Linked DNA regions of Macaca mulatta. Each later gene encodes a partner of the first gene's protein in a complex. Links are inferred from orthologs where the notes say so. Each region holds a gene or a part of one and is shown on either strand. Other genes may lie near its edges.

Region 1 (4,025 bases):
GGCAGAGGTTGCAGTGAGTTGAGATTGTGCCACTGCACTCCAGCCTGGACAACAGAGTGAGACTCTGTCTCACAAAAAAAAAAAAAAAAAAAAAAAAGGCAAGCCGGGCATGGTGGCTCACATCTGTAGTCCCAGCACTTTGGGAGGCTGAGACAAGTGGACCACAAGGTCAGGAGTTCGAGACCAGCCTGGCCAATATGGTGAAACCCGTCTCTACTAAAAATACAAAAATTAGCTGACATGGTGGCAGGTGCCTGTAGTCTCAGCTACTTGGGAGGCTGAGGCAGGAGAATCGCTTGAACCTGGAAGGCGGAGGTTGCAGTGAGCCAAGATCGCGCCACTGCACTCCAGCCTGGGCGACAGAGCAAGGCTCCATCTCAAAAAAAAAAAAAAAAAACTTTATTAAAAAAAAAACTTTATGTTAAGAAAAGTCATTAGAGTGGGCCCTATTTCTACATGCCTGGTATCCTTATAAGAAGAGATCTAGACAGAAACACTACAGAGTGAAGACCAAGTGAAGACACAGGGAGAAGAGAGTCATCTATAAGTAAGGAGAGAGGCCTGGAACAGATCCTTCCTTCACATCCCTCAGAAGAAATCAGCCTTGCCAACACCTTGATCTCAGACTTCCAGCCTTCAGATCTAGGAGAAAACAAATTTGTGTTGTCTAAGCTGCCCAATCTGTGAAACTTTGTTATTGGCAGCACTAGCATACAAATACAAGCAGGGAGGCAGGTGGCTGCCCCCCCACCATTGGTCAGGCATGTGACATGCATCTACTCATTTCTTCTGCACTATGGTTCCTTCTGAAGCCAAGGAGCTATTTTTATCCCTGACTTAGAAGAGGGACCAGAGGACGAAGGAGGTCCAAAGCTCACCCCAAGTCACCCTAGGTGGCAGGCTGCAAGCTGATTCCAGGTCTGTCTGACTCCAAGTTCTGTGCACTTTGTGTCACGTGGACTGCATCTCTGAATGGCCACCGAGGTTATCTGGTTAGACACCTTCATGTTATGGATGGGATGACAAAGGCCCTGGAAACCCAGCAGGTTGTCCAAATACATATAGCTAGATGACAAACCCATTAAGATTCACTAACCCAAGTCCTGCATTCTCCTCACCAAATTAAAGTACCTTAAAGTGGATGAGCATGCCTTAAGCCAGAGGTCTGGATATATGAAAGAGAGATGATAAACCTATCTACTGTCAATAGATAAACTGATCTATTGACAATGATGCAATAAACCTGAGTCACCAGAGGTCTACTTCTCTGCATCCAGGGAACTGACCAAGCTTGTCAACCTCGCAGGAAGATGATAGACGCTCAAAGCTACAGAAAAATCACAAATAAATGAATGGCGCAAACCAATAGATGGTCAGGATACCTGACCGTGGTGTAAGACGCTTTACCTCTCTGACCTTCTCATCTGGAAAAAAGCAGTAAACACCATACGTTGAACACTTACAGTATGTGAGGCACCGAGCAGCTATTGCACACATATAGCTCATCTGATCTTTGTAAAAGTCCTGGGGGTGTGGATATTATCCCTGTGGCAGTCTTAAGGGTGTGCTGCTCAGATCTCCCTCCAAAAGAAAACAGGCTATGAGGAGTGAAGGCAGCCGACAATCTCCATCTTTGCAGTCCACCATGGCATTCAACTTGGGGAGAGAGACTGTCTCCCCAGGCTGCCAGCCAATGGAATGAACACACCAGGGGTGCCAGTCTGCCCATTTCTGCCCCATGTTAGATTCTTCTAATGAGCAATCACTGCCTTGCTGAGACTTCCTCAAAACTACACTGTAGTCTAAGGTTCTTCCTGCTCAATCCTCCTTCTTTCCCCTCTCGTTTCACCAGTCAGACCAGCATCACGGACTGAAAATTTCCCTGCCTACTACTGTTTCCTTGTTCCTTTATCCTTTATTGTCATTTCCCCCAATAAATACCTTGCATAATTCTGTCTTGGCATCTACATCAAAGAACCCAAAATAATAACACTCCCGTTTTACAGATGAGAAAACTGAGTGATTAATACATCTAAGGTCATATAATTAGGAATCAAACCCACATCTCTCTCTGACTCCCAAGTCCAAGTTCTTAACCAATGGTTTAAAGAACAAAGAAAGTGTGAAGATACAACTGAAAAACAATGCTATAAAAATTCAGATGACTATGCAAAAGGCAAAGCTGCGCCATGAGAAGGACACCGTATCAAGAAACTACTCCATTATTTACTATCAGAGTGATGAGTCCTTTAATCTCATTCTCCCTATTTTATGGATGACAAGACTACCACCAAACCTGCTTACCTCACAAGGTAGTTGCAATAATCAAATGAGACTCCTCCTCCAAGAGAAAAGGGAAACAAACACAGTATGTGAGAAGATTCTCCTAACTGCAAAGCAAGTGGAGGCAAATGGATAATGGCTCTGAACCTGAAGGATTCTACTGAAGGAACTTCTCCCAAACAGGTCCCCAAATTTGGGGATGGAAAAAACAAAAAAGGCGAAGTAAAATATTCCAAATCTCCAAATGGCTTTTCTGCCTCAAGACTATGTGTTTTGTTCATGCCCACATCCCCAGAGCCTATAACAGCACCTGACTGGTATGTGTTAGGCACTCAGGAAATCACTGCTGAATGAGAACAATTTACAGAAGACCCCCAACCCACACCTTTCTGTCCTTCAAGACACAGGGCCATTCCTCCCACACAGCCTCACATGCAAAGCAGAATACCTGGCAGTTCATGTTGTCCTCTGCTTCAATGAGCTTCCCCCGATATACCTCACCGGTGTTCGTCTCACATGTCACAATGTGGCCCTCGGCCTCGTGCAGCACTTTAATTGGCACACCAATAGACATCTTGGCAGGAAGAGAGCTCTACAGTGAAAGAGACAACAGTCAGTTCATCTTTCAGAGTCTGAGAAGGCATGCGGCACACGTCATGCCTCCTTCAAGGCCTGGCACTCCATAAAACTTAGCAAAAACGCCAAAGCTGCATTTTCTATCAAAGAAAAAGAAAAAAGAAAGCTCAGCTCCTGGCTTGGAGGAAACTATCTGGCAAATATGTGCAAGATGTCGGGTGAGGAGGAATGGTGGGGTGGACAGAAGTAAAAACAGGAATGAAAAGAGAGCATCTCCCATCGACCATGTGTCCCTGCTACCCTATGTCCCTTAATCTTCAGCTAAAGGACCATTAGCGAATACTGTGTGTGTAGGGGAGGGGGATTGGAATGTTAATCTGTTGCACTGTTATTTGTCAACCCTTAATTGTAGATTATTACATTTTGACAATCATAACACAGGCCTGAGCTGTCCAATACAGTAGCTCATGTCCACATGTAGCTATTTAAATTAAACTTAACTAAAACACAATAGAATTAAAATAAAAAACCCAGTCCCTCAATCCCAGTGGCCATATTCCAAGTGCTCAACAGCTACATGTAGCTGGTGGCTACCCTACGGAAGGAGCAGATACAGACCTAAGGACCATGCATATCTAGGAGAGGAGACTGTACTTTTAATGCAGCTCTTTAACCCTTCCCTTACTTTACCATCAAGGATATTGAGAAAATATCAAAGTGACAACGTGCTATATGCAGGAAATGCCCGTCATGGAGGAAAATAAGGGAAAGCACCTGACTTGACCTAATTAAAAGCATCAAGTAGTGAACTTTTTATTGACATGAGCGACGACTCAAAGTTGGAACCTAAGTGCACCTAAGACAGGAGAACATGAGGTTGAAAAGACAGGCTCCTTTGGTGAGGATCCCTGGCTTTCAGCCTTAGGAGCCTAGATTTTATGCTGAAGATAGTGGGGAACCACTGCAAAATTATAGGTAAAGAATGACACAATGAAAAGGTAGCAGCATTTATTTACAAAATGGATCTAACGTAAGGTTTAGAAGCAGAGAAACTTGTTAAAATTTCTGCAACAGTTAAAACTGCTGCAACAGTGTGGAAAGCATGACGGGACCACTGCCTGAAAGGGAGCTGGGGGCAGAGATGCAAAGAACTTTTTAAAAAATGA
Region 2 (3,584 bases), on another chromosome or scaffold:
TTTCTTTGCTGAATACATTACATCAAACACAGGCACTATAGTTCAAAAACATTCACGGCCGGGCGCGGTGGTTCACACCTGTAATCCCAGCACTTTGGGAGGCCGAGACGGGTGGATCACGAGGTCAGGAGATCGAGACCATCCTGGCTAACACGGTGAAACCCCATCTCTACTAAAAAAAAATACAAAAAAAATTAGCCAGGTGTGATGGCGAGTGCCTCTAGTCCCAGCTGCTCAGGAGGCTGAGGCAGGAGAATGGCGTGATCCCGGGAGGTGGAGCTTGCAGTGAGCCGAGATCGCGCCACTACACTCCAGTCTGGGCGACAGAGCAAGACTCTGTCTCAAAAAAAAAAAAATTCACATGCTAGGAGGCGAGGAATGTGCATAAAGAGAACAACCTTGGCAGCAGCATGAAGGGGCCACTGTCTAGGCCTCCAAGGAGAGTGCCTCGAGAAGCCAACTTGGATGTCTGTCACCCTTGATATGTCAAGTTGCTGTACAAGGTAATTCCCATCCTGAGTTACCTCTTCAAAGACCTTATCTCCAAATGCAGTGGCATTCTGAGGCACTGGGGGTTAGGATTTCACCATATTAACTTGGGGAGAGAGACAATTCTGCCCATAGCACCAGCCTTCCACTGATACTCCCCACTTTCCCAGTTAAACTATGCTTCCCCATACCTTCCCCTTTCACACTTGAGTTGATTCTCAACTATCAATGAATGCAAGGAAGAGCAGACATTAAGGCCATCCAGAATCTTCTCTTAGGTCTTAATGCTTTACCTTTTTTGTGCTTTTTTGTTGGTTTTTCATCTTCAGAGCTCTCAGACAAACTTGGTGAGGGGGTACGAGCCCCACAGCCCTTCTCCTGGAGCTGTCTGGTCACATCATCCATTTCTTCCGAGTCCTTAGGAGCCCGATAGTTAGACACATGATCCACTCGGATAGTTCTTCCTTTGATCTAAGCAAGACAGGCAACGCTTCAGTGAAGACGGCCCTCATACCAAACTGCCAACTATTTGAACACAAGCTACAGAGAACCATGATTTGAACTACATCCTTTACCTTCTTGCTAAATTCTGTCACTAAAGCAGACCTGCCCAACTGGTGTGTCATAGCATATACACCTAAATATTAATTTATACTAATATTTAGTTAATATAATTTTATTATTATAAAATATATAGTGCAGCCTCTCAGTGCAGCCAGGTGAGGCCTGGGGCAATTGTACCAGCAGCCTCATCACTTTACTCCAGGGCACCATGCAAATATCTTCATGTTCTGTATGTGCCATAAAATGAAAAAGACTAGGAAATACTACCTCAGAGCACAAGCATCAGGGAAGACTGAGATTTAGATGCATAATGAATTACCCTTGATCTGTAACCTAAGTTTACAGTGAAACATACCCTAGGAAGGTCTGGCAACTAGAAGGAATTCTTGAAATCTGGCTTAATGCTACAACTGCTTTCTCGACCCAGTAATTAGGAGGCAAAGTCAGACCAACAGTTTGGAGGGAGAAAGGAATCGAGAAAAAGGCACTTGCTTTTTTCTTCAGCCCTCACACCTTGCTCTAGCCCCACCATACTGGAACAATAGGCTCACACTGATTCTTGCACTACGAATCACAACTCTCCAGGTGAACAACAACAAAAAATTAACCCCTCTGGTCGGACGCAGTGGCTCACACCTGTAATCCCAGCACTCTGGGAGGTCGAGACGGGTGGATCACTTGAGGTCAGGAGTACGAGACCAGCCTGGCCAATATGGCAAAAATTTGCCGGGTGTGGTGGTGCACACCTATAATCCCAGCTACTCAGGAGGCTGAGACAGGAGAATCACTGGAACCCAGGTGACAGAGGTTGCAGTGATCCAAGGCCACGCCACTGCACTCCAACCAGGACAACAGAGTGAGACCCTGTCCCCCTCCCCCCGCCCCCCAAAAAATTAACACCTCACTTAAAATAAAAACATTCTATTTTTAGGCAGATACAGACTTACTCTCTAGGCAAAGCCATTCAAAATTTAAAGTTTGGCTTTTATTGTTCCAATACAAGAGCAGATTTTTATTTTTACCTTGAAGCCTGAGCGGCTTCTGTTATGTATCCTCTTCTCCATTTTGAAACACTTTGGAAAACCTTCCTTTTACAATGACGCCCTCTGACTGCTGGCTTCCTTAAACATCAAGCCTAGAACCTTGTTCCACTCTGTTCTATAATCTCCAGCTATCCCATACTCGTGAATCAGTGACAAACTCTCCAACTCAAGCCTCCCCACACCAACTCTGTGACACTGTTCATTTCAACTGCAGCTTTTTTCCTAAATGAGTGCAGCAACCACATGGAGCATCAATACGCCTGACTTGCCCTATCTCCTTCTAAGAACTCAGTGCCTCACTTACGACAGTGGAAATAAGAGGGATCTGGGGGGAGAAAATTTCAGGATGAAATTACTTTTGTAGAATCTGTCATCGGATTTTAACTAGAGAATTTCTAGAGCCCAATATGCTAGGTCACTGGAGATACATGACAGGCATACATGGGTATGTCCTAGATTATGAGGCCATGTTGAAGCCCAAAACTCCCAACACAGGACAATATGGAAGAGCAATGTTTGCTAGTCTCTTCATCCTCCAGTGCACCAGAAATGATAGTAGACAGTAAAAAAAGAAAGGTGAAAAACAGAGGCCTGGATGAGAGGCAGGCCTGGTGCCTATGCTCCTGGGGAGATGGTTTGTTTACAGATGGGGAAAAGAAGCAAGTACTGCAGGGCCACGAGCCAACAGAATTATTTCCTGGAATCTCTTCTTGACCAGCGTCTCCACATCTCTGCAGCCCCCGCAACAAACCAAGCTGACAAGTGCTGCCCTTGTGTCTGTGGGAATCAGGTAGAAAAAGAAACACCTATACATGGGAAAAAAGTCCAACCAATCTGCTTAATAAGCACACTCACCTTGATCCCATTAAAATTGTCGACGGCCAGAATTGTGCTCCTCTGGTCTTCATAGCAGAGGAAACAGAACCCTTTGGATTTCCCAGTTTTCTTGTCCCGCACGAGATTAATGTTAACAATCTCGCCATATCTATTTATTTTATAAAAGAGTAAGACATTATTGACTTAAAAGGCAAAAACATGCAGATAAGGTAATAAAACAAAATTCAAATAACATAGTGTGTACAAGAGATACATCTAGAACAGGATGACACAGAAAGGTTGCAAAGAAAAAGTCAGACAAGTACAGGAACACCCAATTAAAAGTGGGTGGCAATATCCAGAGCAAAAACTAATTCAAGGCCAAAATAAAAATATCACATGAGACTAAGATTATTTTACACTGAAAAAGGCCTAAATACACAATAAAGGTATACATCAGGAAAACTCTGAGTCAATTAAGAAATCAAACATTTTAATTAAAAAAAGCTATTAGAAATGCAAAGAGAAACTAAGAGAGAAAGTTATGGGAGAATTTAACACATCACTTTGAAGTTTATCACGCATAAAGTGGACAGAAATAAAATAAAATCAGATGAATTAATACACATAATTATACTAACAAATATTAATGTAGGACTATTAGATACATAG
Region 3 (4,384 bases), on another chromosome or scaffold:
TAATGGGCACAGAAGCAATCACACAGCCACAGGGTAATGGGCACAGAAGCAGTCATACAGCCACAGGGTAAAGGGCACAGAGCAATCACACAGCCACAGGGTAACGGGCACAGAAGCAATCACACAGCCACAGAGTAACGGGCACAGAAGCAATCACACAGCCACAGGGTAACAGGCACACAGCAATCACACAGCCACAGGATAATGGGCACAGAAGCAGTCATACAGCCACAGGGTAACGGGCACAGAAGCAATCACACAGCCACAGGGTAACGGGCACACAATCAGACAGCCACAGGGTAACGGGCACACAGCAATCACACAGCCACAGAGTAATGGGCACAGAGCAATCACACAGCCACAGGGTAATGGGCACAGAGCAATCACACAGCCATGGAGTAATGGGCACAGAGCAATCACACAGCCATGGAGTAATGGGCACAGAAGGAATCAGACAAGCCCTGCCTTCACCCTTTACAACCTTGCCTTGGGAACAGGCCTCAAACATTCTTCTACCTTTCAGGTAAACAGTCCACCCCACAGCTCCTTCTGGTCAAAAACAAGCTACTCATGGCCCTGCTCTGTGGGAGAAACCAGGGAGTAGATACAGAAAATACTGTGCTAGATTAAGCCTTCCTTCAGGGAACTAACGATTGACACAGACTTACCATGGAAAGCATCTTGGGATGTTTAATCAGACATGGGTTTAAATCCTAGCTCAGCCATTTAAAAACAATGTGATTCTGGCCACGTGCAGTGGCTAGCACTTGTAATCCCAGCTACTTGGCGGGGCTGAGGCAGGTGGATCCTTGAGGCCAGGAGTTCAAGACTAGCTGGGGTAACATAATGAGAACCCCCTCCATCTCCAAAAAAAAAAAAAAAAAAAAGGATGTAATCTTGGTCAAGTTGCTTCTCCAAGCCTTCCTTCTGCATATGTGGGGATAATACAGACTTCATGTTATAACTTTGAGGATCATGTGATATATACCAGTCAAGCCCTTTCTAGGGGGTTGGTATTGCTATCTCCTGACCCCATCTCTCCGGGACGCTATGATAGATAAATACAGCTACAATAAGAATCGGGTTACAGAGTCTAGTTAGGTACTCAGTAAATGTTGGTTTCCCCAAACCTTTTCATAGTTGGCAGGACCAGAATCTTGTCACTATTCTTTGCCTCCCCCAGCTCAGAAACATCAAAGGATATAGGCCTTTATCAGGCATGTTTCCTTTGGCCTAGAAACTAAAACGAGGGTACAAATACTGCTTCCTATTCCTCATTCCTGAGGCCTCTCCCCTCTCCTAGGATTGAGAGATGCTACTCCTTCCTCAGTCTCTCATGCCCACGAGAGCTCATATTCCCCATTTTCCCAGGCCAGACACCAGCAGAGAAAACGCTGACTCCAGGAAACTAAGGACCATCTTACCCTTCCCACCATTTATGAGAGCAGCAGCAGGACAAGGGTTCAGCACTATGTAACCCACTTGTGGAGGCAATCCATCTCAGCTCACAGTGGCTGAATCTGACTCCCAGGGAAGGTCAGGCTGCAGAGGGGACCTCTCTGGGGGTTACGGCCCTTCTTTCTGGCTCAGGAGGCTCTCCCAGGGTCCCAAAATATGGTCCCTCCTGACGCTGTAAATTTTATTTTATTGCATTATTGGATTAGCTGAGCAGATGTTTGGCCCTCAACACCTGCCTTCCAGGCGCAGTAAGTACCCACAGTTTGAAGTAGTAAGTCAGTTACTAGCTGGAAAACACTCCGGTGCTTCATCACGGATGGTTAATTAGTGCTTACCAGAGCCCGCTTCTAAGGTTTATTATGCGCCTACTCCATGCCAGGCACGGTGCTAGGTGGTGCACATGTAAGATCTCTTCGATTCACAACCACCTTTTGAGGACTATTATTCCGGTTTTAGAGAAGAAGACACTGAGGCGCAGAAACGATTTGCTGAGGGTGCCCCCGCCTGGATGTGGTGGGGCTGGGAAGCAATTACGGCTAAGGGGCTCCAAGCCCTAAGAGTTCTGCCATACCGCTCCTGAAGAGCTCTCTGGGGGCGGGGAACAGACCATTTCCCCCCAGCCTACTACTGCTGACACATCTCGGGGTGCCTCACCCCCAGCTCTCCCAGAACAGCCTCCTGGTCTTAGCAGCCTGTGTCGAGGCTTAGCAGGGAGCTCCTAGTTCCAGGGTTCCCCCTCTCCCAGACCTTGCAAGATTCTGAATCAGGACGCACGCAGGTTCAGAAAGTGACGCCTCAGGAACACAGCCGCCCCAACCGCGGTGTGACCCGCGCAGCCCTGCACGGGACACTGTGCCTCGGCGATCTCCATGAAAAGTCGCCCAACACTCAGTGGGGAGACACACTGTCATTCCCCCAGCTCTGTCGATGAGGAAACCTGATGAGCGTAAGACACTTGGAGCCTAAGACGCTTGCTCAAGAACGCAGTTGCCGTTCAGAAAATGAGGCCGCCGGGACACCCGGGGGTGCTCGGAGAAAGCCCGTTTCTCAAAGCACGTGCGCGAGCCCCGGGCCCCGGGCGTTTCCAGGGGCTCTCACTTTACGTCTGCTCGGTGTTTTCCCGCGGAGTGGGCAAGACCCGGCCCAACGCGCAGCGGGACCCGGACCACCCCCGTCAAGGCCACCCGGGGACCCCCAGACCCGCCCCGACGTGGTGGACGCTTTGGCCCGGGCCCAAGCGAGCGTGCGCGGCAGGAGGAGACGCGACGGGGCGGCACCGTCCCGGTGGCGCATCGCGAGACGCAGCCCGGGGCTGAGGAGACGCGACACCCACCTAGGTCCATGGCGGCGACGCCGGCGGCCGAGCGGGGCTAACGCCCCCTCTACTCCGAGAACGCGAACGCGGCGCGGGACGCACAGCACAATGGACGGCGCAGGCGCCACGGCGGCGGCGCTCAGGCCCCGCCCACAGTCTCCCCTGCGCACGCGCAGTCCTCACGAACGAGCGCGCCAAGCGCACAGCGCCGCCTTCCGGCAGAGGCCTCCCACCCACCCTCAGGTACCAGGCGTCGCTCCCCAGACCCTCCGCACCGTCCCCTGCCCTGGCCCGCTTCCGGGGTCTCAGCGGGTCCGGCTCACGAGTCCCCGGCCCCGCATTCACCCTCACCCGGTAACCCCGGGCGTGCCCCGCACACAGCTCACCGCCACCGAGCGCCTCCCGCGGGCCGCCCACTACCCAGCGCGGCCGCACCGCGCGAGCCTTCCACTCCCACGCGTCCAGTCCGCCCCCCACACAGTCCCTCAACGCGCTCCTGCCGCGCGGCGCCGCCCCCTTCAGACAGCAGCGGCCCGGATCCTAGACGCTTTTGACGGCTGTTCCTCCCCAGAAAATGCACCGTGTGAGCCCAAACGTGGTGGGGTGGCGCCAGTACGCGGGACCCCGAGCTTGCAGCCTGTGCTTGAGAAAACACAAACATCGTGTGCCTGCCTGCGTTCCCCCCTGAGATCGAGTAGTAACCGCCATTCCAACTCTCCACCTCCAGCTTCGAGCACCAGGCACCGCCTCCACCCCCTCATGTGCCAAGTGGAGTTCGAGCTGGCGCGCGCGGCCCTCAAGCAGCTGAAGGGTCCTGTGAGCGATCCGGAGAAGCTGCTGATCTACGGCCTCTACAAACAGGCCACCCAGGGCGACTGCGGCATCCCCGCCCCTCCGGCCTCAGACGTGAAGGCCAGGGCCAAGTGGGAGGCTTGGAGCGCGAACAAAGGGGTGTCCAAGATGGACGCCATGAGGAGCTACGCGGCCAAAGTGGAGGAGCTGAAGAAGAAGGAAGTGGGGGGCAGGGAGCGCGAACAAAGGGGTGTCCAAGATGGACGCCGTGAGGAGCTAGGCGGCCAGAGTGAGGAGCTGAAGAAGGAAGTGGGCGGCATGGAGCGCGAACAAAGGGGTGTCCAAGATGGACGCCATGAGGGGCTACGCGGCCAGAGTGAGGAGGTGAAGAAGGAAGAGGCTGGCTGAGGGCTCCTCGGGAATGGAAAGGGATTCTTAGACCTTGATGGCTGAAACGTCCTGAAACTGTCGCAAGCTTAGCCGAGACATCAATAAATCACTTAAACTGCGTGAGAGTGACCGACTGCTGTTGGAACAGAGGAACTGGAGGAACTCGGTGACTGAGTGCTGGGGAGGCGTCCAAATACACAGACTGGCTTTTTGTATGGTTTTGGGTGGAGTTCCCAGCCCTCCTATTACAAGAGCGTATGTAGGTATTTGGCAGGAGAGAGGGGCACAGTGTGCTGTGGAAACGCCCAAGATCTGAGGGCAGGAGACCATTCTCCAGTGACGGCCTCTTGGGAGGCTGAGGCCCCAGCCCCTTTTCTCTTCAAGGCGGATTCACTAATACCCCAACACCACAGAGGGGAGCGGGACTCT
Region 4 (4,292 bases), on another chromosome or scaffold:
GTTGTATGTTCTGAGGGGAAACAAAAATCACTTAACTTAGTAAAACAAATACTGCATTTCTTAAAATGTTTTAGGGACCTGTGGGCACGAGGAGCCCACACTGAAAGCATTATCCACAGTGAAATCACATCCACAGTGCCTGGGCAAATAAGCCTTTGGTAAATATTTGTTATTGTTATCTCTAATGACTTAAGAAAGTATTACAGCTCACATCAATCTGTAAAAGCAAACAAATGGTTAATATTTTCCAGTTGCTACATAAAAGAAAAACTATCAACAACATAATTTTAGAGATAAATGTCTTGGATAGTGTTGGTACCTCGGGTTGGACGATCTCTGTTTTTCTCTCTTGCAGCAGCTCTCTCTCTTTCTTCCAACTCTCTCCTGAAGTCACGGTTACGAACCTCTTCAGGGGCATCCTGAGTAGTTTGTCTAAAGTAGAAACAAACCAGGGCAAAAATGGTACTTAAACACACACACACATACACACACACACGACTGTGGTAATGGAAGACAATTCAGGAATGAGACTTTGTCCTTCAAGCATAAAAAAGGGAAGTAGATAAGATCATAATCTAATCTGAAAGTTACTAACAGCCACTCTTGTGATGTTCCCAATATTTCAAGAAGTCCAAATTCAATCACGCATTTTCCTATAATAAGGCTTTACGTGATTAAAATGTCTTTAATTTTTATTGGTATTATCAACTCAGAACTTAACAGTAATACTTTTAATATATTGACTGGTGCTGATAGTGCATAATCTCTCTGAGGCATTATTATTTCTGTTATTTATTGTTGTATCTACATACGAAAATTTCTGGTTAGTAGGAATTTTGCATTTTAAAACCACAGGGCAGAATTTTAGTGTTAAACATCCTATTGCATTCTAATCCTATGATAATAGATAAGTGACATAACTCGAACATACTACTATATCATGACCATGCCATTTAACAGATTTGGTCTTGTTTTGTGAACAAGAAAAAAAAGAGGCTGGGCGCGGTGGCTCAAGCCTGTAATCCCAGCACTTTGGGAGGCCGAGATGGGCAGATCACAAGGTCAGGAGATCGAGACCATCCTGGCTAACACGGTGAAACCCCGTCTCTACTAAAAAATACAAAAACCTAGCCGGGGCAGGTGGCCGGCGTCTGTAGTCCCAGCTACTCGGGAGGCTGAGGCAGGAGAATGGCGTGAACCCAGGAGGTGGAGCTTGCAGTGGGCTGAGATCCGGCCACTGCACTCCAGTCTGGGCGACAAAGCGAGACTCTGTCTCAACAAAAAAAAAAAAGAAAGAAAAAAAAGAAAGTCTTACTACCTGTATTTTATCTTTGTGTGAGAGGGTAGGTCTCTGCTTGAATACTGCTTTGAAAGTTGGCTCAAATCACCTTCTCCTTTTCCCCTTCCACCTCTTGCAGGTTCAAAGGTTGGCCTGGCTGCTGTTGTCATCTTTTATGCTTTGAAGAAAAATATAATCAAGTTATTTACAACAATACAAACACTCATTTTACAGAGTATTAATATCCATACTAGTGAAATAAATTCTAAAACTCATTCCCCTAAACCTGCTTAATCTTCTTAAACAAAAGTTTTCAGGAAAACAAATTATGAGGCTTAGGCCATACAACGAATAGGGCTTCTCAGGCTTGTCTTAGTACAAAAAATTCTGTCATGAAGATCTGAGTTTGCATCCCTATTCTCCTTCTGACTATATGGGCTTGAGCAAGTCACCTGGCTTAACTTTCTGTCATCCGTGGAATGGAGATATTCCTCATAGGATTACTATAAGAATTATGACACTTGACATGTCAAAAGCCTTGAAAAATACAGTACCACCATGACTAAGTTTTAAAAATTTCCAACTCAACCTTACTCTACCAGACTCTCTAAGGTTTGCATTTTATCTAAACTTCACACAATAGCAAATAGGCTAGTAGAAACAAAAGCTAAAAACAAACAAAAAATATCACTGACAAAGTTACTAAGTGTCTGAGAAAAAAGTTACTAAGGAAAGTGTGTTAAACTTCAATGACAGGTACATAGAAAAAAATTCTTAACCTTTTGTTGAGCCAATTTTCTCCTACAACAGGCATCATATTATAAATCAGATCGTTTGTGGGTTATAACTTAAGGACTGTTCAAAAAAAACAAAAACAAAAACAAAACAGGAACCTCAGCCCCAGAGGATTCTGATGACAAAAATCAGGGACCCATTCCTTAAGTTACTTTCTGCTTGGAGCAGTCACAAGAATACTGCCTAGCAGATGCAGTCATTAAAACCCTGTTAGTGTCGGAAAAGCAAGTGTGTGGGGAGGGTGGGCGAACTGGGAGGATTTTTTTGGGGGGGGGGAGTGCTTTCTCCTAATTTTCAAAAAGAGTAAGAGACATGTATACAAAGAAGAAACGGGGTTATCTGGAGCTGGGAGTCCGCCCCTTCCCACACACTAACGGAATTATCACTCCGGCCTCTCGTGAGCTAGTCTTTGGCTATAACCAGAAACTCGTTGCCCCTTAACCCGTGCCCAGCGCCGCAGGGGTGCGAGGGGTAGTGAAAGGAGGACCTGGGGTTCGCTTTACGCGGTAGGCGCGCTGCCTTTTATGCTGCGATCTCCTCTGCGGCCCGAGAGCTCCGGACGCGCCTGACAGGCACTCCGTTTCGCCCCTAGCCCGCTGCTCTAGGTCCTCCACCGCCCGCACTCTGCACTCTGCCGCCGACTCCGACCCCAACTGCCCTTTCCCGTCCCACCGGGATGAGGAAGATAACCTATCCTCCTGCCGCTCACACTGGCCGAGGTCCGATGCAGCAATCTCCGAAGATCATACAGACGCCATTACGACTCCGGGCTCCCAGAAACCTCTGCGCCCAGGGCTAGCGCCTACGACCCGGAAGCAAAATCCAAGCGCTTCGGAGGCGGAAGCAACGACCAATCCGCAGTGGCCGAAGTGGAAGTCGGCGTAACGGCACTAAGGGGCGGGGCCGAAACGGCCCAGGGGGCGGGCGTTTGAAATCAGTGCCTTAGAGTAGACCCTAAATATCATTTTATACCTTCAAGAACCAATTACTTAATGTCTCTTCCGTCTTTTCCGTCCCCGACCCCCTCCCAGACTCCTTCATTCCGGTACTGCGTGGACGGAAAGCCCCGGGTAGCCGACACCACGTCCCCGGCTAGCGGGAGAGAGCGTGGAAAAGGATTACACCAAACTGTTTAAATCCAACGACTCCTGCTTCCATCCTTTCTCCTGAGCTAGAACCAACAAACCTAGAGAGTTGGGCTTCGGAAAAACTAGTGTTTTCATTTAATTGGATATGAAGAAAGAACAAATATGTACGGGGCAACCACGATCTTTACAAAGGTACATTCCTGCAAAAATATTAACACTTCAAAGCAAAGGTTGTATTCGTAATGTTTGCTAAAATTTTTTATTTAAAAAACGTTAGTTTTAGTGGGAGGGGAGATGTCAATATTTACGACAGCGTTTAGAACGGTGGGCCCAACTGCCAGGAGCACAAGATGTAATTACTAAGATGGCTACTTAAGTGTTAAGTTTTAATAAGAACGAAAAGGAGAAAACCCAAAAACCAAAAACCCACCAATCCTGTCTCCTCCCTTCCATAAAAAAAAATCCTGAGAACAGAGATCTTGATTGTTTAGCTAATCTTAGTATCTCATCACATAGACCTTGACATATAGTAGCTGCTCAATTAATATTTGTTAAACAAATGAAAATTCAACTTCCCCAACTTAGTTTAAAATATAAAGAACTCACAAAGTTGAATATTTAAATGCTTTCTTACCTCTAAATTCTTTGCAACTTTTAAATGAAGAAAGAAAAGCAGAAAAAGCCCTTTCACTCATAGAGTTCAAGATGAAAATCTTGATTTTTCTTACTAAAGGTATCCCTCCTCCAGTCTTACACGTCTCACTAAAGGACACGATCATCATACTAGTTACTCAAACCAAAATCCCAGAGTGCCTACTTAAATTCCTTTTCTTTCACTTTTCACATACGGTTCATTTACAGGTCTTACCAATTCTACTTTTAAAACTTACCCGAAATTTTATTCTACTGCCATTACCCTTGTCCTGGCCAACACCATCTCCTACCTGGATTGTAATTGTTTCCTATTGTATCTTCCTGCGTCATCTTTTATCCTACAGTCAATGCTGCATATAGCCAAGAGAGTGATCTTTTAAAATTAATCAAATGGTGTTACTATCCTGTGTAAAATTTCACTGCAGTTAGGATAAAAATCACATTTCTTAATGTGACCTGAGACGCCACGGAGTCTG
Region 5 (4,091 bases), on another chromosome or scaffold:
CAAAATTAGCAAGTTAAAGTACCAAACCCAAGTACCTCAGAATGTATTAATAACTGTTTTTGGAGATAAGGTCTTTAAAGAGCTGATTAAGTTAAAAAATGAGGGCAGGGCCCTAATCCAATATGGCTGAGAAAAGACACCAGGACAGAAAAAAGATCATTTAAGGATACAGCAAAGAGGTAGCCATCTGCAAGCCAAGGAAAGAGGATTTTTTTCAGGAGAATCCAAACCTGCTAACACCCTAATTTTTGACTTTTAGCCCCAGAACTACAGGAAAATGAATTTCTGTTGTTTAAGCCACCTACTCTATGGTATTTCATTATGGTGGCCCTAGGAAACTAATACAGCCACTCTGGAAAACAGTCTGGCAATTTCTTAAAAGAATTAAACCTGCAACTACCGTACAATCCAGCAATTGCACTCCAGAGAAATGAACTCTTATGTTCACATAAAAACCCGTACACAAATGTGTATATAGCAGCTTTATGTGTAATAGCCAAAAAATGGAAACAACCCAGATGTTCTTTAATGAGTAAGTGGCTAAATCCATGCCATATGGATACCACTCAGCAATGAAATAGAACAAACTACTGAGAGCTGCAACCTGAATCAATCTCCAAAGGATTCTGCTGAGTGAGAAAAGACAATCCTAAAGGTTACATACTGTATGATTCCACTTACATAACATTCTTGAAATGACAGAATTATAGAAATGAAGAACAGATTAGAAGTTGACAGAAGTTAAGGAAGGATAAAAGTGGGAGATAAGTGTGTGTGGCTACAAAAGGACAACATGAGGTATTCCTTGTGGTGAAGGAAATGTTATCTTGACTATATCGATGTCAATATTCTGATGATGATATTGTACCACAGTTCTATTATGAATAGATGCTACCACTGGGAGAAACCAGGAAGAGTATATCTCCCTGAATTATTTCTGACAACCATATGTGAACCAATAATAATCTCAAAATAAAAAGTTTAATTTAAGCAAACAAGCAGAAAAAAGAAATACACCCAGTTTTCAGAAAAGCCCATTGGAGGTACAGGTAGAGATGTAGGCGAGTGTGCGTGCACACACGCGCACACACACAATACACACACACACAGCCCTCTTTAGCTGTGATAGGAAAAGGCTCTCAATTTGGACCCAACATCAAAACACCCCAATCCACTTACCTGCTTCACTTTGACTGTTGAGTAGTGAGGACTTCGGTTTCTCTTACTCCGAGGAGACTTGCTTCTTCTCCCTGAGGACTTGTTTTTCTTTTTGGGTGGGGACCTATACAGAGCATGGTACACAGGATTTTATCGCAATTTCCCTTCCCCCATAAAAATTAGCTTCCAGTATCAGGCTTACCTACTAACACAAACACTGCTTTTGTGAAGGTATCTGCCAATCACATTAAAGGAGTCACGAGGTTCATTTTCCTAGCTCTAACGTCTCCCTTGCATTCCATACTCACATAGACAACTGTCTACTGAACCTTCTCACTTAGGTAACAAAACTCTTAATTTCCAACCCTTCAAAAACCTTTCCTCTCCTACTCCTTGCCATCTTGCTAACTGGCATCACCATCCGGAAGTCACCCTTGATTCTTTATCCCTCACTACCAACACCCCTAGCATCAGGAACAATCCCTCCATCCTGTGGTTCTACTTCCTCCCTATGCCATCTCATTCCTACCACCCACCTTCTTGACCACTATACTCCACCGACACTGGCTTTTTCCCATTTCAATCATAATTCATTCTACTTCAAGTTCTTTGCAGATGTTGTTTCCTCTGCCTGGATCTTTAAGAGGTTGAATCATTCCTATCACTCAGGTCTGGACTCAAATGGCACCTCTTTAAAGAGGCCTCCTCCCTCTTCTCTCCAATCTCTATCACATTACTGTTATAACCTATCAATAATACTTGTTATTGAAACTTTTTTTTTTTTTTAATCATCTGTCTCAGGGTTAGAGCACGGCCAATTTGGCACTGGTGAAGATCATCTAACTGAATCGCCCTTGCAGCCCCAATACCTAGGGCAGTCTTTCACACTTAAAATAGGCACTCAGTAAAACTATGGTGAATGAATGCATAAATAAATGAGTCTAGCAAGAAGTAACTTTTTTTATTTTTATTTTTCCAGTTTCTGTTAGGTAGCTCGCCTAGACCTCGATGTGAAAACCTTTCTGGCAGGTAACTGGAAAGACAAGGCCCACACTCCATTTGTGGGCGGGATGGGGAAAATCTCATTCCAATTTAACAGATTATCAGTGCTATCTGTTGGGCTACACTCTTCGAAGTGCTGGGGACACAAGAATGAAGGAGTGGGATCCTGCCGGTGTGTCATTAGGCGTTGAACACCGAGCTATAAGGCAAGTGACAGAGCAAGCATAACACAAGCACGACTGGATCACTCTCAACAGTCCCTCAGGATTAAGTCCGGGCTGCTGCGCCCAGCATTCAAAACCTGTTTCGGATGCTAGCCCTGCCCGCCTTTCTGAATGAGCCCAACCCAACGTCCATCCTGGGCTGCTCCCCCACTTACCGGCTAACTCCTCGGGCTCGGTTCCCGCGGTGGCCCGGGCGGCCCGGCTCGCTGGTCGGCGGAGACGGGCTACCGCCGGAGTGGTCCGGACGGCGGTGGGCGGGAGGTGCGACTTCTGGGCTGAGACGCTCCTGCTTCACCACCACCCCCGCCGGCAGCACCATGTCCCCGTCCCGGTGTCTTCGCCGGCTCCCTCGCTCCCGTTCGCTCTTCACCGCCTTCATTCTGTGATTTTGGCTGAGCGAAAGAAAACAGATCCGTTGAGCTCCTCTAGCTGAAGGAAATGACGAGTTTGACTCCTGGACTTCCGCTTCCGGGGTGCCCAACCTCCCAGAAATCCTCGCGGCAGATATTAAACACGTGACTACTCCCTAGTGGGCGTAGCCACAGTGACCGGCTTGGGTGGCGGGAGTTTCAAGTTTCAAAAACAAACTTCTGGCTGGGCGTGGTGACTCTCGCCTGTAGTCCCAGAACTTTGGGAGGCCGAGGCTGGCGGATCACCTGAAGTCAAGAGTTCGAGAACAGCCTGGCCAACATGGCAAAACCTCGTCTCTACTAAAAATACAAAAATTAGCCAGGTGTGGTGGCGCGCGCCTGTAATCCCAGCTACTCGGGAGAATGAGGCAAGATAATCGCTTGAACCCGGGAGGCGCAGGTTGCAGTGAGCGCAGATCGCACCACTGCACTCCAGCCTGGGCGACAGAGCGAGATGTCTCAAAAACAAACAAACAACAATAACAACAAAAAACTGGGAAAAAGCAAACCTCTCAAGACTGTTTGTTGCCACATTACTGGTAATTACAAAACGTGGAAACAATGTAAATACCCAGCAGTAGGGAAGTTAGCCAAATTAATGGGTGTTATGTGGCCATTAGTAAACCATTTACAAACTTTAAAAACCCTGACTTGTTAACGACAAAGCAGGATACAAAATTGTGCGCAAACCATAATTACATTTACATTTGGAAATAGAAGGGAGGAAGACATGGAAATGCAATCAGAGATGATAACCCGTGGGCAAATCATTAGCTTTTCCTCTTCTATTTCCTGAACTTTTTGCAATGCTGTTGGGGCTCAGAAATCGAAACCCCAAAATATGGCGCACTGACATGCCGAACTGAAGAAGCCTCAATGTTCCTTCCCGGTGCCCACCATCTCTCCCAAAGCGCAGGTCTTTATCTGCCTAAGATACAGACTACCAAAAGGAATAATTGTTTCTTTCTTCTCCTCCCAAGAATGTAATCACACCTGACCAGAGACCGTTATGCTGTCAAAAGTAGCTATTTACAGCCGAACACGGAGGCTGCAGCCTGTAATTCCGGCCCTTTGGGAGGCCAAGGCAGGAAAATCGCTTGAAGCCAGGAGTTCCAGACCAACCTGCCCAACATAGCAAGACTCTGTCTCTACAAAAATTAAATTTTGCAGGGGCTGGTGGCTCGTGCCTGTGGTCCCAGCAGAGATAGGAGGATCACTTGAGCCCAGGAGTTGGAGGCTGCAGTGAGCCGTGATGGCACCACTGCACTCCAGCCAGGGCTACAGAGTGAGACCCTGT
Region 6 (3,584 bases), on another chromosome or scaffold:
TTTTTCTTTTGGTTTCTCTTCTCGCTTCATTTCATTCATTTGATCCTCAATCGCTGATACTCTTTCTTCCAGTTGATCGAGTCGGTTACTGAAGCTTGTGCATTTGTCACGTATTTCTCGTGTCATGGTTTTCATCTCTTTCATTTCGTTTAGGACCTTCTCTGCATTAATTACTCTAGCCATCAATTCTTCCACTTTTTTTTCAAGATTTTTAGTTTCTTTGCGCTGGGTACGTAATTCCTCCTTTAGCTCTGAGAAATTTGATGGACTGAAGCCTTCTTCTCTCATCTCGTCAAAGTCATTCTCCGTCCAGCTTTGATCCGTTGCTGGCGATGAGCTGCGCTCCTTTGCCGGGGGAGATGCGCTCTTATTTTTTGAATTTCCAGCTTTTCTGCCCTGCTTTTTCCCCATCTTTGTGGTTTTATCTGCCTCTGGTCTTTGATGATGGTGATGTACTGATGGGGTTTTGGTGTAGGTGTCCTTCCTGTTTGATAGTTTTCCTTCTAACAGTCAGGACGCTCAGCTGTAGGTCTGTTGGAGATTGCTTGAGGTCCACTCCAGACCCTGTTTGCCTGGGTATCAGCAGCAGAGGCTGCAGAAGATAGAATATTTCTGAACAGCGAGTGTACCTGTCTGATTCTTGCTTTGGAAGCTTCCTCTCAGGGGTGTACTCCTCCCTGTGAGGTGTGGGATGTCAGACTGCCCCTAGTGGGGGATGTCTCCCAGTTAGGCTACTCAGGTGTCAGGGACCCACTTGAGCAGGGAGTCTGTCCCTTCTCAGATCTCAACCTCCGTGTTGGGAGATCCACTGCTCTCTTCAAACCTGTCAGACAGAGTCGTTTGTGTCTGCAGAGGTGTCTGCTGCGTTTGTTTACTGTGCCCTGTTCCCAGAGGTGGAGTCTACAGAGACAGGCAGGTTTCCTTGAGCTGCTGTGAGCTCCACCCAGTTCCAGCTTCCCAGCAGCTTTGTTTACCTACTTAAGCCTCAGCAATGGCGGGCGCCCCTCCCCCAGCCTCACTGCTGCCTTGCTGGTAGATCACAGACTGCTGCGCTAGCAATGAGGGAGGCTCCGTGGGTGTGGGACCCTCCCGGCCAGGTGTGGGATATGATCTCCTGGTGTGCCTGTTTGCTTAAAGCGCAGTATTGGGGTGGGAGTTACCCGATTTTCCAGGTGTTGTGTGTCTCAGTTCCCCTGGCTAGGAAAAGGGACTCCCTTCCCCCTTGCGCTTCCCAGGTGAGGCAATACCTCGCCCTGCTTCAGCTCTCACTGGTCGGGCTGCAGCAGCTGACCAGCACCGATCGTCCGGCACTCCCCAGTGAGATGAACCCAGTACCTCAGTTGAAAATGCAGAAATCACCGGTCTTCTGTGTCGCTCGCGCTGGGAGTTGGAGACTGGAGCTGCTCCTATTCGGCCATCTTGCTCCGCCCCCCAAGAAACTAAACTTTAAACTACTAAATGTTATTACCTAAATGTAAAATCAAAATCCGAAAATGTAAAATCAATACTGGCTAAGTGGCACATTATTAGCTCATACCATTACTATGGTTTTAAAGAAGAAATACACTAAAGTCACAACTAATGAGTGAATTGAAAGATGCAAAAAAGAATTTAGCTGCTCCCTCATAGTGCACTATAATAGGAATATATTCCATCATTTTTGTAAAGAATAAACATATCCTATGGAATGTTTTGATGAAGGTAACTCTTAGATAAGTTAATCATATGTATCTTAGAAGCCTAAGGAATAACATAAAACCAAAAACTGAACCACAGGTTTAAAATCACTGGACACTAACCTTTCCAAAGATGGTATGCTTATTGTTAAGTTCATCCGCTCGACCCAGTGTGAAGAAAAACTGGCTGCCATTATCATGAGAACCAGCATTTGCCATGGCAACCAGGCCTCTCCGATTAAAACGCAACCGTGAATGAAATTCATCCTGAAATGTAAAAAAGATCTAGTGAATGTCCTCAGTTATAAGACCCGTCATATGCAGTTATTCAACTTGACCCGCAAGGTCCCGTACAACTTCTAATAAAAAATGCAGACATTTTGCTTAATTGATTTTTGAGCACTTACTATTCTTTCAATGTTATTAAACTTGAATTCACTAGACTGTATTTTCTAAATATACTCATACAGAAATATACCCTATTTTGTGGAAAGCTGCTTAGTTATACCCAAAGGAAGAGTACCCAAGGGGGAATGGATTTCTAAATTATTTCCCTACTCTCATCCCAAAGTCAGCTAAGCTTTTGAAATCTTCTCTTACTTCTCCCAGAACACTACCTTTGAGCCATTGCAGAGTCTTCAATTATTACTCTTTCCCATCTCATTCTAAATGTCATTAAACAATTGCTTTCTTCTTGTTTTTTAATTCAAATAATCTACTATTATTGTGTCATGTAATTTTACCATGTCTTTTTAAAGTCCTAAGTTGAATCTTCTCTGAAATGGCACTGATTCTATTTGCCAGTTTTCAAAAGAGCAGGAACAAGTCTTTCTAAGGTGGTTTTCTCACCACGATAGGGCTACTTAACAAATATATTAGTCTCTTAGTTAACAGAATTTCCTTCCAACCTGATATTGAAGTCATTTATAAATGTAGCCATGTTATATCATAAATGCTTTTCACAAAGGGAGATTTTTTCCTTAATAAATAATTCTCAAGAGATCTGAACTCAATGGATCACAACTCTGTATACTGTATTCAAAATGACCTAATTGAAAAATGTAACAAGATAACTGTATTACCTGAAAATAATGAAGCAAAAATCTCAAGTTAGGAAGGAATTGTCAAAAACAACTATTCTGTTACACTAAATAAAAGAATAAAAGAATGTTTCCGACTAGACGAAGTACCTAAAATCATGAGAAGTCTTACTATGGTAAAATATAAAACAGTCTAAAAGTGATATCTGAGACTTTTAAAGTAACTATTCCAAATTTCTAAAGCCATTATCATCTGGAAATTAAAGCAAACAGTTCAAATATTTTCTTCAAGAATGACACAATGACTTGGTAAAAGATGAAAGGAAAATGCAGACAATCTATTCCATTAGTATAAAAATGAATTTTTCAAAAACTCCCATATTTTAAGAGATACTGTTTACTCATTCAAAGAACATGATATTGGTGCCATCAAATTAATAACAAACACAATTTTTAGCTTTTACTTGAACTTGCTATTGTTCTTAATATCTTCACTATGACATTAACTCTTTTTCTTCTTAGATCTATGTTGGCAGATAAGAAATCACTGACCTATTCTTGATTAATGCATCTTTTACAGACAATTTATTTATTTATTTTTTTTTTTGAGACAGAGTCTCACTTGGTCGCCCAGGCTAGAGCGCACTGGTGCGATCTCAGCTCACTGCAACCTCCACCTCCCAGGTTCAGGCAATTCTCCTGCCTCAGCCTCTTGAGTAGCTGGGATTACAGGTGTGTGCCACCATGCCTGGCTACTTTTTGTAATTTTAGTAGAGACGGGGTTTCACCATTGGCCAGGCTGGTCTCAAACTCTTGACCTCAAATGATCCGCCCCCCTTGGCTTCCCAAAGTGCTGGAATTACAGGCA
Region 7 (4,246 bases), on another chromosome or scaffold:
TAAGCCAGGCATGGTGGCACATGCTTGTAATCCCAGCTACTCGAGAGGTTGAGGCAGGGGAATCGCTTGAACCTGGGAGGCGGAGGTTGCAGTGAGCTGAGATGAGATCACACCACTGCACTCCAGCCTGGTGACAGAGCGAGACTCCGTCTCAAAAAAAAAAAAAAAAAAAAAAAAAAAAGCTTTGAAACAAGAAGGGTCAGAGAGAAAAGAAAATCTGAGGAAACTGATTAGGCACACTCACCTTCGAAGGGTGAGATAATGGTCCAGGGCTCGTCTTCTTGTGGGGCTCATGGGTGCAGGGGCTGAGACAGTTGCTGACTCCTCGGCCTGTGGGCCAGCCCCAGGTTCAGGTTCCCTACTGATCTTCCCGCTTTGGAGTTCGACCTCTGAGGGTGGCACAGGAGAAAGGGAGACAGAGGGACCAGGGGCTTCTGGTCTAGGTAGAGAAGAATAGTCTGTAAAAGCAGTAAGGGAAAGGGCCAACTCTCCTATGACTCCCAACCTCTTAAAACAGTGTTTCTTAAACTATATTTTTCAAGATATTAGTAAGTTCTGCATACAAAGGATTTTAGAATCATGAATTTGGGAAAGGCTAGCTTTAAATTTTACAAGTTTTTTTTTTAATTCTTAAGACTTTGTATAGCTTTTAAAACTGTTACTCTTTTTTTTTTTTTTTTTTTTCTGAGATGGAGTCTTGCTCTGTCACCCAGGCTGGGGTGCAGTGGCCAGATCTCAGCTCACTGCAAGCTCCGCCTCCCGGGTTTACGCCATTCTCCTGCCTCAGCCTCCCGAGTAGCTGGGATACAGGCGCCCGCCACCTCACCCGGCTAGTTTTTTGTATTTTTTAGTAGAGACGGGGTTTCACCGTGTTAGCCAGGATGGTCTCGATCTTCTGACCTCGCGATCCACCCGTCTCGGCCTCCCAAAGTGCTGGGATTACAGGCTTGAGCCACTGCGCCCGGCCTAAAACTGTTACTCTTCAAGTAGAATTACAAAGTGCCATTTCCCAAACTTTATTTAAAAATCACAAAATTCTCCTTTTCTTTTTCTTTTGAGATGGAGTCTCACTCTGTCACCTAGGCTGGAGTGAAGTGGTATGATCCTGGCTCACAGCAACCTCTGCCTCCCGGATTCAAGCAATTCTTCCACCTCGGCCTCTTGAGTGGCTGGGATTACAGGCACACACCACACACCCAGCTAATTTTTTATATTTTTGGTAGAGACGGGGTTTCACCATGTTGGCCAGGCTGGTCTTGAACTCCTGATCTCAAGTGATCCACCGCCTAAGCCTCCAAAAGTGCTGGGATTACCGGTGTGAGCCACCGTGCCCGGCCAAAATTCTCCTTTTCTTGAAACACTAAGTAACATCTCCAGAACGCTAGTATTCCTCAGAATACAGACTGGAAAACACTTTCAGAGCCCTCTATCTCCTTCCGAGCCTTCCTACCTCTGGCTTTCCCCTCCCATACCTGTACTTCCGGCGGCAGCAACTGTTATAGTGGGGAGCTCTGTGCAGAGCACTCTGGGTGATAAGTCGTGTCTGGGTTAGCAGAGGAGCCTGGTAAGAAGATGGGAGACAGAGTCAGAGCCTTCAGCCCTCTGCCCTTCCAGCCTGGTGTGTGCAGCAGGGTCTTGCCTAGAACACACTCTCCACTCTCTGATTACCTCAGCTTTGGTTTCTTCCCTCCTCAATTCATTCTGATGTCTTGGATTCTGCTTCCTTTCCTTTCCCGGCTGCTTCTTGCCATAGAAAAGCTGCAAGCCTGAAGAGAAAGGGAAACAGAATTAAAAGCATAGCACCAAGGCTGGTGTGCAGAGATTTCGATTTATTCCCCATCCCCTGTCTTCCCCCGAACTTACTGGACAGATGTTTCTTGCCTGCACGGTGGGCAGTCAGCATGGCCAGGGTGTCCAGTACCGGTCGATGGGGGCAGATGGCACAAGCAAAGCTGAGCAGGGGTAGAGAAGAGGATAACTGGTCCAGGGGAAGAGGGTTGGGCCTGTCCCTGCCGTAAGTCCCACCCTGTCCTAGCAGTCTTTGCAAAACCCAACTCCCTGGTGACCCAATCTCCACTTCTTCCAGTCCTCACTAGCCGCCAAAGAATCCTAGATACTTCTGCTGTCCTAATTAATAACAAAAGTTTGTTGAAGCCGGGCGTGGTGGCGTGCGCCTGTAATCCCAGCTAATCGCGACGCTGAGAAGGCAGGATCACTTGAGCCCTAGAGTTCAAGGACAGCCTGGGCAACACAGCTATTGAGCCTCTAACCGCAAAACCCTCAGGCTTGAGCCACTCCTCGCTCTTACCGTCCATCCCGAAGCATCAGCGCCTCATCCTCTGGGATGTAACTGGCGAGGAGGTCCCCGACTCTTCTTTTCTGCAGGGAGTAGGGGAAGAAATCCGGACGGATCAGCAGGATAGGAGAGAGGGATGGAAGTTAAATGATAGAAATGAGGAGTCAAACGGAATAAGGACATAAGGACCCTGGGGAGAACAGCGATCATAGACCGAAAAAGGAGTCACTACACAGCTCTAAGTCGCCTGGTTCTCTCCTGCACCCCCGAGTTGTTGCCAGAGCAATGAAACAAAGCTCCTTCCCAACCTTCAGAGAGCGACTGAAGAGGCTGCAGATCCTCTCCGCTCACGCTTACTTTGAGCACATTGAGTTGACTCCAATCGTCTCCTTCCCTCTTGAAAGACATCACGACTGTGAGTCCCAGAAGTGATAAATTTTCTTGTTCCGGTTTCGCCACTCCTCTAGGCCACCGTAGCAAGAGCGGGACAGCGCCTTCTCTTTTCTCTTTGTCTTCCTGTCGGCCCCCGTACTTCCGGGAATGCACTTCCACGCATGCATTGCGCCATCCGGATATCCACTCTCTGGCGCGTGGAGGGAACTGCATTTCCTATGGTGCCGTGCGACTCCGCAGACGCGACGCCTTTTGGGAAATGAAGTCTTTTCCTCAAAGACCTTGCCGCTCAGCTGGATCCAGGCCCTTGCATCTTGGTGGATCTGAGGCGTTTAGAGGGACAAGAACCTAGATGTGGAGCCGAAATTTGAGGGTGTGACCTATCTGATGCGGAGCGGACCTTTGAGGATCTCTGAGTGGAAGGTGTACTACAAATTCTCGCAATCCTCACGCTCTTCGTCTGCGGCGACAGTTCACCTGGGGTGGGCCTGATTTGTTCCTGGCTCTAGCAAACAAACCCCGGGACCGGGCAGAGCTGGGATGTGGGAGCGCCCTGAGGCCAGACTACTTGGGGGCAAACTGAGGAAAGAGTGTTGAGGATTATTTCTAGAGTTCAAAGGTCAGAGGTCAATGTAGCGAGGAGTTGTGGGGGAGTTCAAAGTCGGAGGGGTGCTTAGGGGCGAATCAGGGAGGGACTGAATACTCAAGGGACAGATTTGTGGATAAGGACTTGGAGGGAGGAGAAACCGGGAGGGGGCAGGTGGCGTAGTGCTGGGGAGGCGGGGACACAGGGGAAGAGAGAAGGGGAAAGGAATCCCCTGAATATCTATTCCCAGACTTCAGGCCTGTCATTCGCAGTCTCGGTCGGGCCTCCCCTAGTTGCAACCTAGCTGTCGGCAGGGTGAAGAGATGGCTTCCCCGTCTAGACAGCCCCCGCCAGGGGGGTCAGGACTGCTTCACGGGAGCCGGGCTCGTTCATATGGAAGCCTGGTGCAATCGGCCTGCTCCCCAGTGAGGGAAAGACGCCTGGAGCATCATTTGGAGCCCGGAGACACCCTGGCTGGACTAGCACTCAAATATGGGGTGACGGTGAGTTTTCCAGGATTGGGGTGCAGACAAGAGTCAGGAGGGATTTAGTCCTGAGAAGAATGTAGTGGACCTTCTAGGTAACCTCCCCTGAAATGTTCCTAATGTGTTGAACTCTGTTCTGCTTTTATCTTTGTTTTCCCATCACAGTGTTGCACTGCGTGGTTGGGACAAGTTCTGCTCTACTATTCCAATGGAGAGGAACAGCTCCTATTTTATCATGCCAGACACTGTGCTAGGGGCTTCACATACGTTAGCTCATTTCACCCTCACGTCCGTATCAAGTATACATTTATTGTTCCCTTTTGGCAGATGAAGAAACTGAGACTTGGATTGGTTAACCATTTTGACTAAGGTCAAATAATGATTGTCAGATATGGGATTCAAACAGGTCTGTCTGACTCTGTAAACCACACAGAAAATTTTACATTGAGAGTGATTAAACGTTTACAGCAAATAATGGAGAGCTTA

Evidence for each region.
Region 2: SNRPD3 (region 1) and RBMX2 share a complex: the UniProt entries of both Homo sapiens proteins name them as parts of the minor spliceosome. The link is inferred for Macaca mulatta from reciprocal best matches to the Homo sapiens genes SNRPD3 and RBMX2.
Region 3: SNRPD3 (region 1) and GEMIN4 share a complex: the UniProt entries of both Homo sapiens proteins name them as parts of the SMN-Sm complex. The link is inferred for Macaca mulatta from reciprocal best matches to the Homo sapiens genes SNRPD3 and GEMIN4.
Region 4: SNRPD3 (region 1) and CWC15 share a complex: the UniProt entries of both Homo sapiens proteins name them as parts of the minor spliceosome. The link is inferred for Macaca mulatta from reciprocal best matches to the Homo sapiens genes SNRPD3 and CWC15.
Region 5: SNRPD3 (region 1) and SNIP1 share a complex: the UniProt entries of both Homo sapiens proteins name them as parts of the minor spliceosome. The link is inferred for Macaca mulatta from reciprocal best matches to the Homo sapiens genes SNRPD3 and SNIP1.
Region 6: SNRPD3 (region 1) and CWC27 share a complex: the UniProt entries of both Homo sapiens proteins name them as parts of the minor spliceosome. The link is inferred for Macaca mulatta from reciprocal best matches to the Homo sapiens genes SNRPD3 and CWC27.
Region 7: SNRPD3 (region 1) and SCNM1 share a complex: the UniProt entries of both Homo sapiens proteins name them as parts of the minor spliceosome. The link is inferred for Macaca mulatta from reciprocal best matches to the Homo sapiens genes SNRPD3 and SCNM1.

The regions. Positions count from the first base shown.
Region 1 is NC_133415.1:28,770,480-28,774,504, forward strand, and holds the start of SNRPD3 (small nuclear ribonucleoprotein Sm D3), read right to left. Parts: upstream 2,876-4,025; 5' UTR 2,858-2,875; coding exon 2,732-2,857; intron 1-2,731. UniProt on the Homo sapiens protein: Plays a role in pre-mRNA splicing as a core component of the spliceosomal U1, U2, U4 and U5 small nuclear ribonucleoproteins (snRNPs), the building blocks of the spliceosome.
Region 2 is NC_133426.1:136,871,334-136,874,917, reverse strand, and holds part of RBMX2 (RNA-binding motif protein, X-linked 2), read right to left. Parts: intron 3,082-3,584; coding exon 2,952-3,081; intron 961-2,951; coding exon 783-960; intron 1-782. UniProt on the Homo sapiens protein: Involved in pre-mRNA splicing as component of the activated spliceosome. As a component of the minor spliceosome, involved in the splicing of U12-type introns in pre-mRNAs.
Region 3 is NC_133421.1:2,295,179-2,299,562, forward strand, and holds the start of GEMIN4 (gem-associated protein 4), read right to left. Parts: upstream 2,802-4,384; coding exon 2,792-2,801; coding exon of another isoform or gene 2,399-2,791; exon of another isoform or gene 944-2,398; intron 930-943; exon of another isoform or gene 669-929; intron 1-668. Other genes in the region: uncharacterized protein LOC721152, read left to right, coding at 2,399-3,973. UniProt on the Homo sapiens protein: The SMN complex catalyzes the assembly of small nuclear ribonucleoproteins (snRNPs), the building blocks of the spliceosome, and thereby plays an important role in the splicing of cellular pre-mRNAs.
Region 4 is NC_133419.1:95,762,660-95,766,951, forward strand, and holds the start of CWC15 (spliceosome-associated protein CWC15 homolog), read right to left. Parts: upstream 2,877-4,292; 5' UTR 2,784-2,876; exon of another isoform or gene 2,765-2,783; intron 1,458-2,764; 5' UTR 1,450-1,457; coding exon 1,319-1,449; intron 433-1,318; coding exon 320-432; intron 11-319; coding exon 1-10. UniProt on the Homo sapiens protein: Involved in pre-mRNA splicing as component of the spliceosome. Component of the PRP19-CDC5L complex that forms an integral part of the spliceosome and is required for activating pre-mRNA splicing.
Region 5 is NC_133406.1:203,243,301-203,247,391, reverse strand, and holds the start of SNIP1 (smad nuclear-interacting protein 1), read right to left. Parts: upstream 2,807-4,091; 5' UTR 2,764-2,806; coding exon 2,540-2,763; intron 1,283-2,539; coding exon 1,180-1,282; intron 1-1,179. UniProt on the Homo sapiens protein: Required for pre-mRNA splicing as component of the spliceosome. As a component of the minor spliceosome, involved in the splicing of U12-type introns in pre-mRNAs. Down-regulates NF-kappa-B signaling by competing with RELA for CREBBP/EP300 binding.
Region 6 is NC_133411.1:72,828,089-72,831,672, reverse strand, and holds part of CWC27 (spliceosome-associated protein CWC27 homolog), read right to left. Parts: intron 1,944-3,584; coding exon 1,800-1,943; intron 1-1,799. UniProt on the Homo sapiens protein: As part of the spliceosome, plays a role in pre-mRNA splicing. Probable inactive PPIase with no peptidyl-prolyl cis-trans isomerase activity. As a component of the minor spliceosome, involved in the splicing of U12-type introns in pre-mRNAs.
Region 7 is NC_133406.1:115,922,654-115,926,899, forward strand, and holds the start of SCNM1 (sodium channel modifier 1), read right to left. Parts: upstream 2,819-4,246; 5' UTR 2,705-2,818; coding exon 2,654-2,704; exon of another isoform or gene 2,605-2,653; intron 2,380-2,604; coding exon 2,309-2,379; intron 1,953-2,308; coding exon 1,864-1,952; intron 1,767-1,863; coding exon 1,669-1,766; intron 1,562-1,668; coding exon 1,473-1,561; intron 440-1,472; coding exon 245-439; intron 1-244. Other genes in the region: LYSMD1 (lysM and putative peptidoglycan-binding domain-containing protein 1), read left to right, coding at 3,599-3,778. UniProt on the Homo sapiens protein: As a component of the minor spliceosome, involved in the splicing of U12-type introns in pre-mRNAs. Plays a role in the regulation of primary cilia length and Hedgehog signaling.